Callithrix jacchus: one gene and its partners. The protein of the gene in region 3 interacts with the protein of the main gene of each other region in a pairwise test. Links are inferred from orthologs where the notes say so. Each region holds a gene or a part of one and is shown on either strand. Other genes may lie near its edges.

Evidence for each region. The genes of interacting proteins can lie anywhere in the genome.
Region 1: the proteins of MAGEA4 (region 3) and UBXN6 interact in binary tests that used the Homo sapiens proteins (3 or more experiments, as listed by UniProt). The two-hybrid records come from large-scale screens. The link is inferred for Callithrix jacchus from reciprocal best matches to the Homo sapiens genes MAGEA4 and UBXN6.
Region 2: the proteins of MAGEA4 (region 3) and WBP2 interact in a two-hybrid assay, tested with the Homo sapiens proteins (2 studies listed by BioGRID). The two-hybrid records come from large-scale screens. The link is inferred for Callithrix jacchus from reciprocal best matches to the Homo sapiens genes MAGEA4 and WBP2.

The regions. Positions count from the first base shown.
Region 1 is NC_133523.1:4,202,915-4,206,904, forward strand, and holds the start of UBXN6 (UBX domain-containing protein 6), read right to left. Parts: upstream 2,803-3,990; 5' UTR 2,696-2,802; coding exon 2,613-2,695; intron 2,147-2,612; exon of another isoform or gene 1,799-2,146; coding exon of another isoform or gene 1,785-1,798; intron 1-1,784. UniProt on the Homo sapiens protein: May negatively regulate the ATPase activity of VCP, an ATP-driven segregase that associates with different cofactors to control a wide variety of cellular processes.
Region 2 is NC_133506.1:131,750,801-131,754,736, forward strand, and holds the start of WBP2 (WW domain-binding protein 2), read right to left. Parts: upstream 2,803-3,936; 5' UTR 2,763-2,802; coding exon 2,704-2,762; exon of another isoform or gene 2,589-2,703; intron 95-2,588; coding exon 1-94. UniProt on the Homo sapiens protein: Acts as a transcriptional coactivator of estrogen and progesterone receptors (ESR1 and PGR) upon hormone activation. In presence of estrogen, binds to ESR1-responsive promoters. Synergizes with YAP1 to enhance PGR activity.
Region 3 is NC_133524.1:148,211,907-148,215,901, forward strand, and holds the start of MAGEA4 (melanoma-associated antigen 4), read left to right. Parts: upstream 1-1,192; 5' UTR 1,193-2,239; coding exon 2,240-2,310; exon of another isoform or gene 2,311-3,926; intron 3,927-3,995. UniProt on the Homo sapiens protein: Regulates cell proliferation through the inhibition of cell cycle arrest at the G1 phase. Also negatively regulates p53-mediated apoptosis.

The DNA of each region.
Region 1 (3,990 bases), on a different chromosome or scaffold from region 3:
CTCCTAACAAGCTGTCAGGGAGACCTCACCATCCCCTGTTCCCAAACCCAAGAGGGTTGTTGAGAAGTCCAGGTGATGTACCCCATGCCACGCCACCCTTGTGTCAAGACCCTGGGGTCAGCTGACAACAGAACCAGCCTTGCCCTGGCCACGTGACTCCATGCCAGGCTCAGGGCTGTGCAAGTACAAAGAGCTCAGGTAATCACGGCCCTGCCCTGTGGAGCCCTCTGCCAAGGAGGATTCCGTAATCCTCTGAGCACAGTGACCTGGCAGAGCAGCCCTCTCTCCCAGCTGCTCGGATGCGTCTGTCTCGCCCATCTCCTCAGGCCCCTCCCGTGAATTCAGGCGCTGTCACTTTCCATGCTATAGATCTGTAAAAACTTCCAGGAGACCAGGCTCTCAGTTCAAGCCCTATACTCCTCTGGCTCTGCTCAGATTCCCGGGAAGCCCTCCCTCCTCCTCTGGAGGCTTCCGGAACCTGCTTCGTGCCCACCCCTGCCTATCCCGTCCTCCCGCAGCTGAGCAGATTGGGTGGAAGAGATGACTCATGAAGACCCACCCTGGCCCCATCCCATATCTAGGTCTTTCCAACAAAACAGCATTTCCCAGGGTGCCTCACCCCAACCGGCTGTGGGCCCTGCTCCCCCGGGCAGTCACAGGGACCCTTCTGGAACCTCATTCAGGGAACGTCAGCGTCACTCCACTGCATAATGTCCTCCCACTGCAAAATCCTAAGGCCTCCCTCGGCCCAGAGAGCCCTTCCTGGCCTGGCCCCATCTCTCCTGGGCTCCCTGTCGTTCTTCCCACACCCCAACTGCTCCCCGTTGTACGGCCCTGCACTGTCTGCGCCTTCTGCCCAGAATGTTCTCCTGGGGGGTGGGAGGAGGTCAGGGGATCTGGAAAGGGCTAGGGCTACCACAGGGAGAGAAGGAGGGGGCTGATTTCCTCACAGCTGAAGTCTCGCTGTCCTGGCAGAGGTCTTCCCGGACCACCTGGCGGTCCCTGCTCACCCTATTTCGAGGCCCTGGGCACTGCCTGAGCTCTCATCCCAGGCTTGTTGGTTTATTTACCAATCGGCTCCCACTAGGTGGTGAGCCCTGGGAAAGCAGCCGCCTTGTCCTGTCCGCCACTGCAGCCCAAAACAGGACTTGGTGCCCACCCGCCCCACACACCCTGGAGTATCACTCCAAAAGGGACCTCTGCACGCCTTTCCTTTCCTTCCCGTCCCTTCCCGCCCGCCCCTCCGCTCCAATCTTCCCCCCTATGCCTGGGCTCTGGGCTGATCCAGCCATCGCCCTCACACCCTGGATCCTTCCTGTCACGCCCAGTCCCAGTGGCTCTAGTACCCCGTTCACCCACTATTGGTTGAATCAATGAAGGGCTCCCCCCATTTGCCCACCTCTCTCCCTGACCCCTCTGTCCCTGACCCCTCTCCCTCCTTTGCTTTCCTGCTCAGCCTCTCCCCCAGGAACCCCAACGTCCTCACTATGGCCCTCCCTCCATCACCACCCCACTGCCCGTGATTCCCTGACCCGCACTTCCTGCCACCTCCCTGCATCTCCTCCTACCCCTTCCCAGCCCCACCTCTTCACAATCCCTTCCATTATTGCTTATAGACCCCTGCCCTGGCAGCCTGGCTGACCTCCTTCCCCTTCACTCTCCGTCGGTCCCCACCACTCCCTGGCCAGCCAGCTCCCTGCAGCGGCCCCAGCTCTCCAGGTTCCCTATTCTCAACCCAGCAGCCCTCAGCCTCACACTGTCCCCGGTTCCACCTCTTCCCCTACCTTCCATGTGCCATCCCAGCTGGCTTAGCCCTGCCCAGGCCCTTCTCTCGAAGTCTTCCCTAGACAATCCAGAAGTAGGCCTGGCAGCTACCTCCTTTCCCTCCCCTCCCACCACCATCTGTCAGTCCTTCACCTCCAGTCTCCTCGCACACCGTTCTCAGCCCTTCACTCCCAATTCGCAGGGACCTCCCAGGTCACTGACGACTCTGCCCACCACCACTTCCCTGGCCTTCCAGACTTCCTAGTCTGTCGTCAACCTCCCACGTGCTCCAGATCCCAAGCCCACATCCCCTCTTCCCATGGATGCCCCACAGTGTGTGTCCTCCTCCACGCTCAGCTCCCATCCCTGGTCACCCAAATTCCCCCAAATCATCCGGGCCGCTTCAGAACCAGCCGGGTCCCCAGACCTCTCCCTCACCACCCGCCTCCGGACTCATCATCCCTTTTTTCCCCCAGGGTCGCTCCACTGACTCCCAACTTGCTGCAGCCCCGTCGCCCTAGACCCCCGCCACAGCCTCCGAGGCCCGACCACTGACAACTACCCTCCTGGCCCCTTCCCCCGCCTCTTCCCGACCCGCCCCCGGGTCCCTCCCACACGCCCTCCTGCCCCGCCCCCAGGCCGCTCTCCGCTCTCCCCTCCCCCTGACGCCCACGACGCCCACCTAGGCCCCACTTGCCCCGCCCCCGGCACCTCTCCCGTTTCCCTCATTCGCCGCCGCCGCTTTCAGCCCCTCGCCCTCCGATCTCCCGCGCACCTCGAGGCCCCAGACCTCTCTCCCCGGCCGTCCCCGCCCCTCAGGGCCTCAAGCCCCAGCGATCCTCACGCACCCCACGGAGTCCGTGAGCTTCTGACCGGGTCCCGCGCTCTTGAACTTGATGTCGGCCTTGAACTCCTGAAAGAATTTCTTCATGGTGGCGGCTGGCCCGGCGGCTGGGGGCCGCAGGGGCGGGGGGCACGGGGCCCAGTCGGGGAGGGGCCGCCCAGGACCAACCACCGGAAAAAAAATACCGGGCCGCCGGAAGTCCCGCCTCTCCGACACCAGCCACGTGACAATCAGCCCGGCGTGCCGCTCTACGGCTCGGTGCCTCGCGGCCCAGGGCGGACGCTCTGTACGCCGGAGCCGCGTCTCTGTGGTTCTGCCGGACTACGTTGCCAGGGCGACGAGCGCGCTTCTAGATTGGCTACAGTGCCTTGCCTGGCGCCTTCCGTGGGGCTCCATAAACGGTGACAAACGTTGATGGGAGAGGGACAGGCCGACTGAACCTCGCAGAGAAAGTACTGGGCCCTGACCTGTTCGCTGCTCAACCTAAGCTGGGCGCGGTGGCTCACGCCTGCAATCCCAGCACTTTCGGGGAATCGGGTGGGAGGATTGCTTGACTGAAGTTGGAGACCACCCTGGGCAACATGGCAAAACCATGTTTTCCATAAATTTTTTTTTTTTTTTAATTGTTGCCGGGCGCGATGGCTCACGCCTGTAATTCCAGCATTTTGGGAGGCCGAGGCGAGTGGATCACCTGAGGTAGGGAGCTCGAGACCAGCCTGACCAACACGGAGAAACCCCGTCTCTACCAAAAATACAAAATTAGCCGGGCGTGGTGGCACATGCCTGTAATCCCAGCTACTTGGGAGGATGAAGCGAGGAGAATCGCTTGAACCCGGAAGTTGGAGGCTGTGGTGAGCTGAGATCAAGCCATCGCACTCCAGCCTGGGCAACAAAAGCAAAACTTGGTGTCAAAAAAATAATAAATAAATAAATTAGGTGAGAGTTGTGGCCCGTGCCTGTATAGTCTCAGCTACTTGGAAGGCTGAGGCGGGAGGATTGCTTGAACCCAGGAGGTCCAGGCTGTAGTCAGCTGTGATGAAGCCATTGCATTCCAGCTTGGGCCACTGAGAGAGATTTTGCCCAAAACAAAACAAACACAAAACTAACCTTCCCTGTCTGCTCAGAGCTTACGTGATAAAGTCCCAATTCAATGTGGGGCATTGGAGGCCCCCACGATCTGGCCCTGTTTTGGTCCCTGACCGCCCCCCGCCCCACCCCAGCCCATGCACCTTATCTAGGAGCTGTTGAATACAATGCACTTGACTGGGACCTGGGGATCCACTTTGTCGGGCAAGACAGAGAGAAACCAGTTAATAGTGGCATCTTTGGGCTGTGCATTCTGCAAAGAAAGATAAAGTGACAGTTAAGCCTCAAAAAAAGGG
Region 2 (3,936 bases), on a different chromosome or scaffold from region 3:
GTAGACGGTGCCTTTCTTGGTCCCTTTGAAGGCTTCTGGCACGTTCTTCATGTCATTGAATGTGAGTTCCACATGATCATAGGACATCAGGATGCTGTGGTGAGAAAAGAGGAAAAGCCTTGGTCAGACAGTATGGAGATGTGGTATCACCCAGACACTGGGCCTTTCTCCCAAGCAGCTGTCCAGCACATCAGCTCTCGTAACCATCTCAACAGTGCTGCATTAAAACCAATCACAGGGCCAGGCACAGGGGCTCACACCTGTAATCCCAGCACTTCAGGAACCTGAGGCGGGTGGATCGCCTGAGCCCAGGAGTTTGAGGCCAGACTGGCTAACATGGTGAGACCCCATCTCTACAAAAAAACAAAAACTAAAAACAAACAAACAAAAAAACCCATTACTCTAGCCATGGAAGAAATGAGCAGGTTGGGGTTCTATAAAATTTCCCAAAGCCTGCTTGCACAGCCCCAAACGATCACCATTGTAGCAGAGCCGCAGGGCTCTGGAGAGGCCATCATCCCCTAAGCAGGTTAGAAGAGCTGGCTTAACTCTTCTATTTTCTTTTAAGTCCTTGTGATGGATGTTGTTTTTATTGGCTTGCTTTTCAAGCCTAATATATAAACACGTCTAAGAGATAACTGTACACATCACAATAGGACCACCTTCAGGGTTCATTTAAACCTGGGTTTTTAGCTGGTTCTGCCGGAAAGTCTGTCCATGAAGCCCTTGAGATGATCGTGTACGTCACATGTGCATTTTCTGGGAGGAGAGTTCAGTTTTCATCATTCTCAAAGGAGTTCACGACTTGAAGAATAAAGTTCACTATTTATCAATTTTTTAATTTTGAGATGGAGTTTCACTCTTGTCGCCCAGGCTGGAGTGCAGTGGCACGATCTCAGCTCACTGCAACCTCCACCTCCTGGGTTCAAGAGATCTTCCTGCCTCCACCTCCCAAGTAGCTGGGATTACAGGCATGCAGCACCATGCCTGGCCAACTTTTTTGTATTTAATAGAAACAGGGTTTCACCATGTTGGTCATGCTGGTCTTAAACTCCTGACCTCAGGTGATCCACCTGTCTTGGCCTCCCAAAGTGATGGGATTACAGGTGTGAGCCACCATGCTGGGCCTAATTATCAAAATTTGAATGCTGGATTTAAACTTCAATTGTTATAGATACAACTTATTCAGACAGGAGGCTGAAGCACTTTCTAAAACAAGGCACGCCTTATTTAGCAAGACTGAGCTCTAAGCCAGGTAGAAGGCCCAGCAAGATGGATAGTCTTGTCTCAGAAAGTTCCACAGAGACAGAAAGAACAACAGTCCCTAGAGATGTTGCCAAATGGTATGAAAAACTGGCTGGGCCTGGGAACTGACTCACACAGAGATGCAACAAGCCAATGTGAGGTGTCTCTGATTACAGGATAAAAAGATTCACACAGTTCTGTTTGTCTTCTGCCTCCCCCCACATATCACAACTTTCTCTGATAGGGGAAGGGTAAGTGGGAAACCACTGGTATTAAAAAAAAGAGAAGTACCTCTCAGAGAAAAGAAGGAATTACCAGAAACAGGCTGCGCCCATCACACTCTGAGCAGGTAAAATGGACGGAAAGTGAGCATCCTGTGGTCTGGGTCACTCTAGGCATTTTCCTCTGACTCATCAAACATTCCCAACTCACAGGGCACCTGGATGCTGGCCTTAGCTGGGTACAGGGCTCTGATGTCCCCTTTGGGGATGCAGATGCCTCCTAAGCTCCTTCAAGAGGTATTTCAGGGTTGGCATAGTTCAACCCAGGCTGGTTTGATTTTCTTTACTTTTTTTTTTCCTTTTCTATCCATGGAATCACAGAACGGTCTGATTTTCAATACTCAAGGAACAAAAGGAGAGAGAAGCCATTTGAGGAGCCCAGAGGTTGGAGGAGAGACAGAATGCAATGAGCAAGGGGTGGGGAGGGCGGAGTAGAAAGAACCTTGAATTAGGAGACCTCTGCCTTCAGGGGTGACTCAAACCAACAGGCATTCAAGAGAAGAGGCAAGGGACTGACTTTACGGACCCACACAGTGCCAGGAACTGTCAGACATCTGATCAACGTCACCTGTTTAATTTCACCTCTGGGGCCTCAGTTTCTTACCTGGAACCTGATCGGTTCTGGAACATACTGGAAGCCTGTATGATGGTAGTTAATCCTATTAACTTTGGAGTCAAGACTCCTTTCCTGGAATTGCCATCTCTGTTACTTACAGAGTTGTGATTTCGGGCAAGTTACTTAACCTTTCTGTGCCCCACTTTACCTACCTGTGAAATGTGGACAGTAGTAGATTGTACCGCACAGAATTTTTATTAAACAAGGTAGAAAAGGCGCAGAGTCTGACACGTAGTAACGTTGTAGACGTTCAATAAATGACAATTATTTTTGTTTGGGGATCCTCCCAGCTACTAAACTCACAACTCTGGGAAGGGGTTTCAAGAATCACCCTAGGCCCCACCGGTCGTCCCACCCCCAATTCCCAGCTGACAGCAATCTCCCGGCCCTCCCCCCACGGCCCACCCACCTTCCTTCAACCCCGCCCCCAGCCGTTCCCCTCCAACCTCACTCCATCAGCGCTCCCTCTTCAGGGGCTTATTCCCCGCCGCCCGCCGCCCGCCGCCCACTTCCTCGACACCGGAACTTTGGTCCTCCAGGATCCTTCCGCAGTGTTTTCACCTTTCGGTGTTGTTGACGATCACTCCACCGCCCTCCGAGTGATTCTTGTTGAGCGCCATAGTCTCTCCGACAGGGGTCCCGAGACTCACAAGGCAGTGCGCTTGCGCTCGTCTTAGGCCCGCCCCTAGTGGCGTCTTGTTATTAGAGTCAGCCAATCACAGCTCCAGCGCGGAGGCTGGCCCAACCACCTGACCCGAGCGTCACGTGGTAATAGTTTACTCCCTCTCCCTTCCCCCGTTCCGCCTGCGTAACAAACAAGATGAAGACTACAATTCCCAGCAGGCAACTCTCCGGAAACCTCGACCTCTCCCTATGCTGGAGGAAGGATTTATTCTGGAACTTGTAGTCTCCTGGACCATAGACCGGAATTGGCTCCATAATTTGCATAACCAATCGGCTTGTGCCATCCCCACCCCGCCTCCTTAGCGGAACCTAAGTAAACAGCCTTCTGGCAGGGGCGCAATCCTGGGGGTCTGCTCCCGCGTCCGGGAGGTTTAGCCGGCCGAGTGCGACCTGGACATGCTGTGGGATCGCCGAGCAGTCCTCTGATAGATGGGGCGCCTTCGTTCACTCAGCAGACGTTTATGGGGCGCTTGTGTGACTCTGGGGCCTTTAGCTGAGCCCGAGGCCCCGGCTCTTGGGGACGCGGTGGCTGGCGGCGTCCGATCACCCCGTCATCCGTCTCACCAATCCCAGCCCAGAGCCCGGGGGCAGGGAGAGTCCCGCGACGGGAGGGGAGATCGGTGCGCCCCGTCTGGATTCCACCACGTTCACGAGCCGGCCGGGCGCCCCTTGCAGCCTCCGCGCCGCCCTTGCGGTGGCGCGGTTCCCTCAAGGGCGCCCAGCGGGGGCCCGGCCGGAAGATTGAAGGCTGAGTGGGACTGGGCACGGCGCGAGACCGGCAGCCTCATAACTAGGACTTACAGAATAGGGCTGACTCATGCCAGCTCGTGACCCAGCCCTGGGCATCCTCCACGGGGCAGCTATCATTCCCTAACCGCCCCCCACAAACCCCCGCACTTCCAAGCTGAATCCGTGAGGCGGAAAGAGGGGGCTGCACTCCCAACGTGGTGGTTCCGCTACTCGTTAATCTTAAGGATCAGAGTTGGCTTTTCAGCAGACAGTTGCTTTCCTGACCCGCTGGGGCCAACCTCGCGATCCACCTGCTTGACTTCGCTTTCCAGGGAGGTCTCCCTATGTGAAGGAACAAAACTGCCTCACTAGAAAAGATCA
Region 3 (3,995 bases):
TTCTTATTCCCATCCACCCTCCCATCCCGCACCAATACCCCCATTCTCTCAAGCTCCTACCAACCTCATAAACCCATTCCGCCACCCCAATACCCCCACCCCCAACCACGCCGGATCCGGTTCCACCCAGTCACGCCCAGATGTGACGCCACTGACTTGCGCATGGGCGGCGGGTTAGAGAGAAGCGCGGTTCTTGGTCTGACCAGCAGCTCGGGATTGGGGGAGGCAAGCGGGCAAGGCACTGTTAGGAGGAATGCTGAGACGCTGAGGGAGGACTCAGGAGCTCCCCACGCGAGATAGATGACGCCAAATAATCCATTACAACTCTGCTGCCAGCTCTGGGCCACCCGTGGCTGGACTTCTGAGTGGGGGATGGGCACCACGGCCACTGTGGTTGGAGTCACAGGGGTCTCGGGACTCAAAGGGCTTGGCGTAGTCAGTGCAAGATTGGTGGGGATAGGCTCTGCCATGAATTAACTGCAGGATCCCAGGAGAGGGCTCTGAGTCCCCCATTCCGTCTCCATTCCCCAACCCATTTTTATTCCCATCCACCCTCCCATCCCGCACCAGTAACCCCATTCTCTCCAGCCCCTACCAACGTCATAATCCCATTCCCCCACCCGCAACCACGCAGCATCCGGTTCCACCCAGGTGCCCGGATGTGACGCCACTGACTTGCGCATGGAGGGTGGATTAGAGAGAAGCGTGGTTCTTGGTCCGACCAGCAGCTCGGGGTTGACGGAGAGAAGCGGGCAAGGCGCTGTTAGGAAGCAAGGCGAGACGCTGAGGGAGGACTCAGTAGCTCCCCACCTTAGATAGAGGACCCCAAATAATCCCTTACCACTCCTGCTGGCTGCCCTGGGCCACCCGTGGGTGGACTTCTGTGTGGGGGAGGGGACCAGTCAGAGTGCCGTTTAAGCCACAGGGGACTCGGGACTCAAAGGGTTTGGCGTGGTCAATGCAAGACTGGTGGGGGTAGGCTCGGCCAGGAATTAACTTCAGGATCTTAGGAGAGGGCTCCGAGTCCCCCATTCTGTCCCCATTCCCCAACCCATTCTTATTCCCATCCACCCTCCCATCCCGCACCAGTACCCCCATTCTCTCCAGCCCCTACTAACCTCATAATCCCATTTCTCCCACCCCCAACCACGCAGCATCCGGTTCCACCCAGGTGCCCGGATGTGACGCCACTGACTTGCGCATGGGGGGTGGATTAGAGAGAAGCGTGGTTCTTGGTCCGACCAGCAGCTCGGGGTTGACGGAGAGAAGCAGGTAAGGCTCTGTTAAGAAGCAAGGCGAGACGCTGAGGGAGGACTCAGTAGCTCCCCACCTTAGATAGAGGACCCCAAATAATCCCTTACCACTCCTGCTGGCTGCCCTGGGCCACCCGTGGGTGGACTTCTGCGTGGGGGAGGGGACCAGTCAGAGTGCCGTTTAAGCCACAGGGGACTCGGGACTCAAAGGGTTTGGCTTGGTCAATGCAAGACTGGTGGGGGTAGGCTCGGCCAGGAATTAACTTCAGGATCTTAGGAGAGGGCTCCGAGTCCCCCATTCTGTCCCCATTCCCCAACCCATTCTTATTCCCATCCACCCTCCCATCCCGCACCAGTACCCCCATTCTCTCCAGCCCCTACTAACCTCATAATCCCATTCCCCCACCCCCAACCACGCAGCATCCGGTTCCACCCAGGTGCCCGGATGTGACGCCACTGACTTGCGCATGGGGGGTGGATTAGAGAGAAGCGTGGTTCTTGGTCCGACCAGCAGCTCGGGGTTGACGGAGAGAAGCGGGTAAGGCTCTGTTAAGAAGCAAGGCGAGACGCTGAGGGAGGACTCAGTAGCTCCCCACCTTAGATAGAGGACCCCAAATAATCCCTTACCACTCCTGCTGGCTGCCCTGGGCCACCCGTGGGTGGACTTCTGCGTGGGGGAGGGGACCAGTCAGAGTGCCGTTTAAGCCACAGGGGACTCGGGACTCAAAGGGTTTGGCTTGGTCAATGCAAGACTGGTGGGGGTAGGCTCGGCCAGGAATTAACTTCAGGATCTTAGGAGAGGGCTCCGAGTCCCCCATTCTGTCCCCATTCCCCAACCCATTCTTATTCCCATCCACCCTCCCATCCCGCACCAGTACCCCCATTCTCTCCAGCCCCTACTAACCTCATAATCCCATTCCCCCACCCCCAACCACGCAGCATCCGGTTCCACCCAGGTGCCCGGATGTGACGCCACTGACTTGCGCATGGGGGGTGGATTAGAGAGAAGCGTGGTTCTTGGTCCGACCAGCAGCTCGGGGTTGACGGAGAGAAGCGGGTAAGGCTCTGTTAAGAAGCAAGGCGAGACGCTGAGGGAGGACTCAGTAGCTCCCCACCTTAGATAGAGGACCCCAAATAATCCCTTACCACTCCTGCTGGCTGCCCTGGGCCACCCGTGGGTGGACTTCTGCGTGGGGGAGGGGACCAGTCAGAGTGCCGTTTAAGCCACAGGGGACTCGGGACTCAAAGGGTTTGGCGTGGTCAATGCAAGACTGGTGGGGGTAGGCTCGGCCAGGAATTAACTTCAGGATCTTAGGAGAGGGCTCCGAGTCCCCCATTCTGTCCCCATTCCCCAACCCATTCTTATTCCCATCCACTCTCCCATCCCGCACCAGTACCCCCATTCTCTCCAGCCCCTACCAACGTCATAATCCCATTCCCCCACCCCCAACCACGCAGCATCCGGTTCCAGCCAGTCACACCCAGGTGCCCGGATGTGACGCCACTGACTTGCGCGTGGGGGGCGGGTTAGAGAGAAGCGCGGTTCTAGGTCAGACCAGCAGCTCGGGATTGACGGAGGGAAGCGGGCAAGGCTCTGTTAGGAGGTAAGTTGAGACGCTGAGGGAGGAAGCAGGAGGTCCCCTCCCCAGATAGAGGACCCCAAGTAATACATTAGCACTATTGCTGCCAGCTCTGGGCCACCGTGGGTGGACTTCTGAGTGGGGGAGGGGCACCACCCCCATTGAAGCCACAGGGGACTCGGGACTCAAAGAGCTTGGCATGGTAAATGCAAGACTGGTGGGGGTAGTCTTTGCCAGGAATCAACGTGGGGATCCGAGGAGAGAGCTCAGAGTCCCACATCCGTCCCCATCCCCCAACCCATTCTTATTCCTATCCACCTTCCCATCCCGCACCAGTACCCTTATCCTCTCCAGCCCCTACCAACCTCATAATCCCAATCCCCCACCCCCAACCACGCAGCATCCGGTTCCACCCAGTCACACCCAGGTGCCCGGATGTGACGTCACTGACTTGCGCGTGGGGGGCGGGTTAGAGAGAAGCGCGGTTCTTGGTCTCACCAGCAGCTTGGGATTGGGGGAGGGAAGCGGGCAAGGCTCTGTTAGGAGGCAAGGTGAGACGCTGAGGGAGGGACGCAAGAGGTTCCCGTTCCAGATAGACGACCCCAAATAATCCATTAGCACTCCCTCTGCCAGCTCTGGGCTACCTGTGGGTGGACTTCTGAGTGGGGAGGGGCACCAACCCCACTGCCGTTTAACCCACAGGGGACTCGGGAGTCAGTGTTTGGGTTGGTCAATGCAAGACCGGTGGGGGTAGGCTCTGCCAGGAATTAACGTGGGGATCCCAGGAGAGGGTTGAGCCTCCCCCATTTCCAACCGCATCCACAGCCCATTCTTATTCCCATCCACCCTCCCATTCCCCACCAGTACCCATATTCTCTTCAGCCCCTACCAACCTCATAATTCCAATTCCCCAACCCAACACAGACGCCCATCCACGCAGCATCCAGTTTCACCCCGTCACACCCAAGTGCCCGGATGTGATGCTACGGGCTTGCACACGGAGCGGGGGTGTTAGAGAGAAGCGCGGTTCTTGGTATGACCAGCAGCTTGAGATTGGCAGAGAGAAGCTGGCAAAGTTCTGTTAGGAGGCAAGGTGAGATGCTGAGGGAGGACTCAGGAGGTCCTTACCCCAGATTGATGACCCCAAATTGTCCCGTACGAT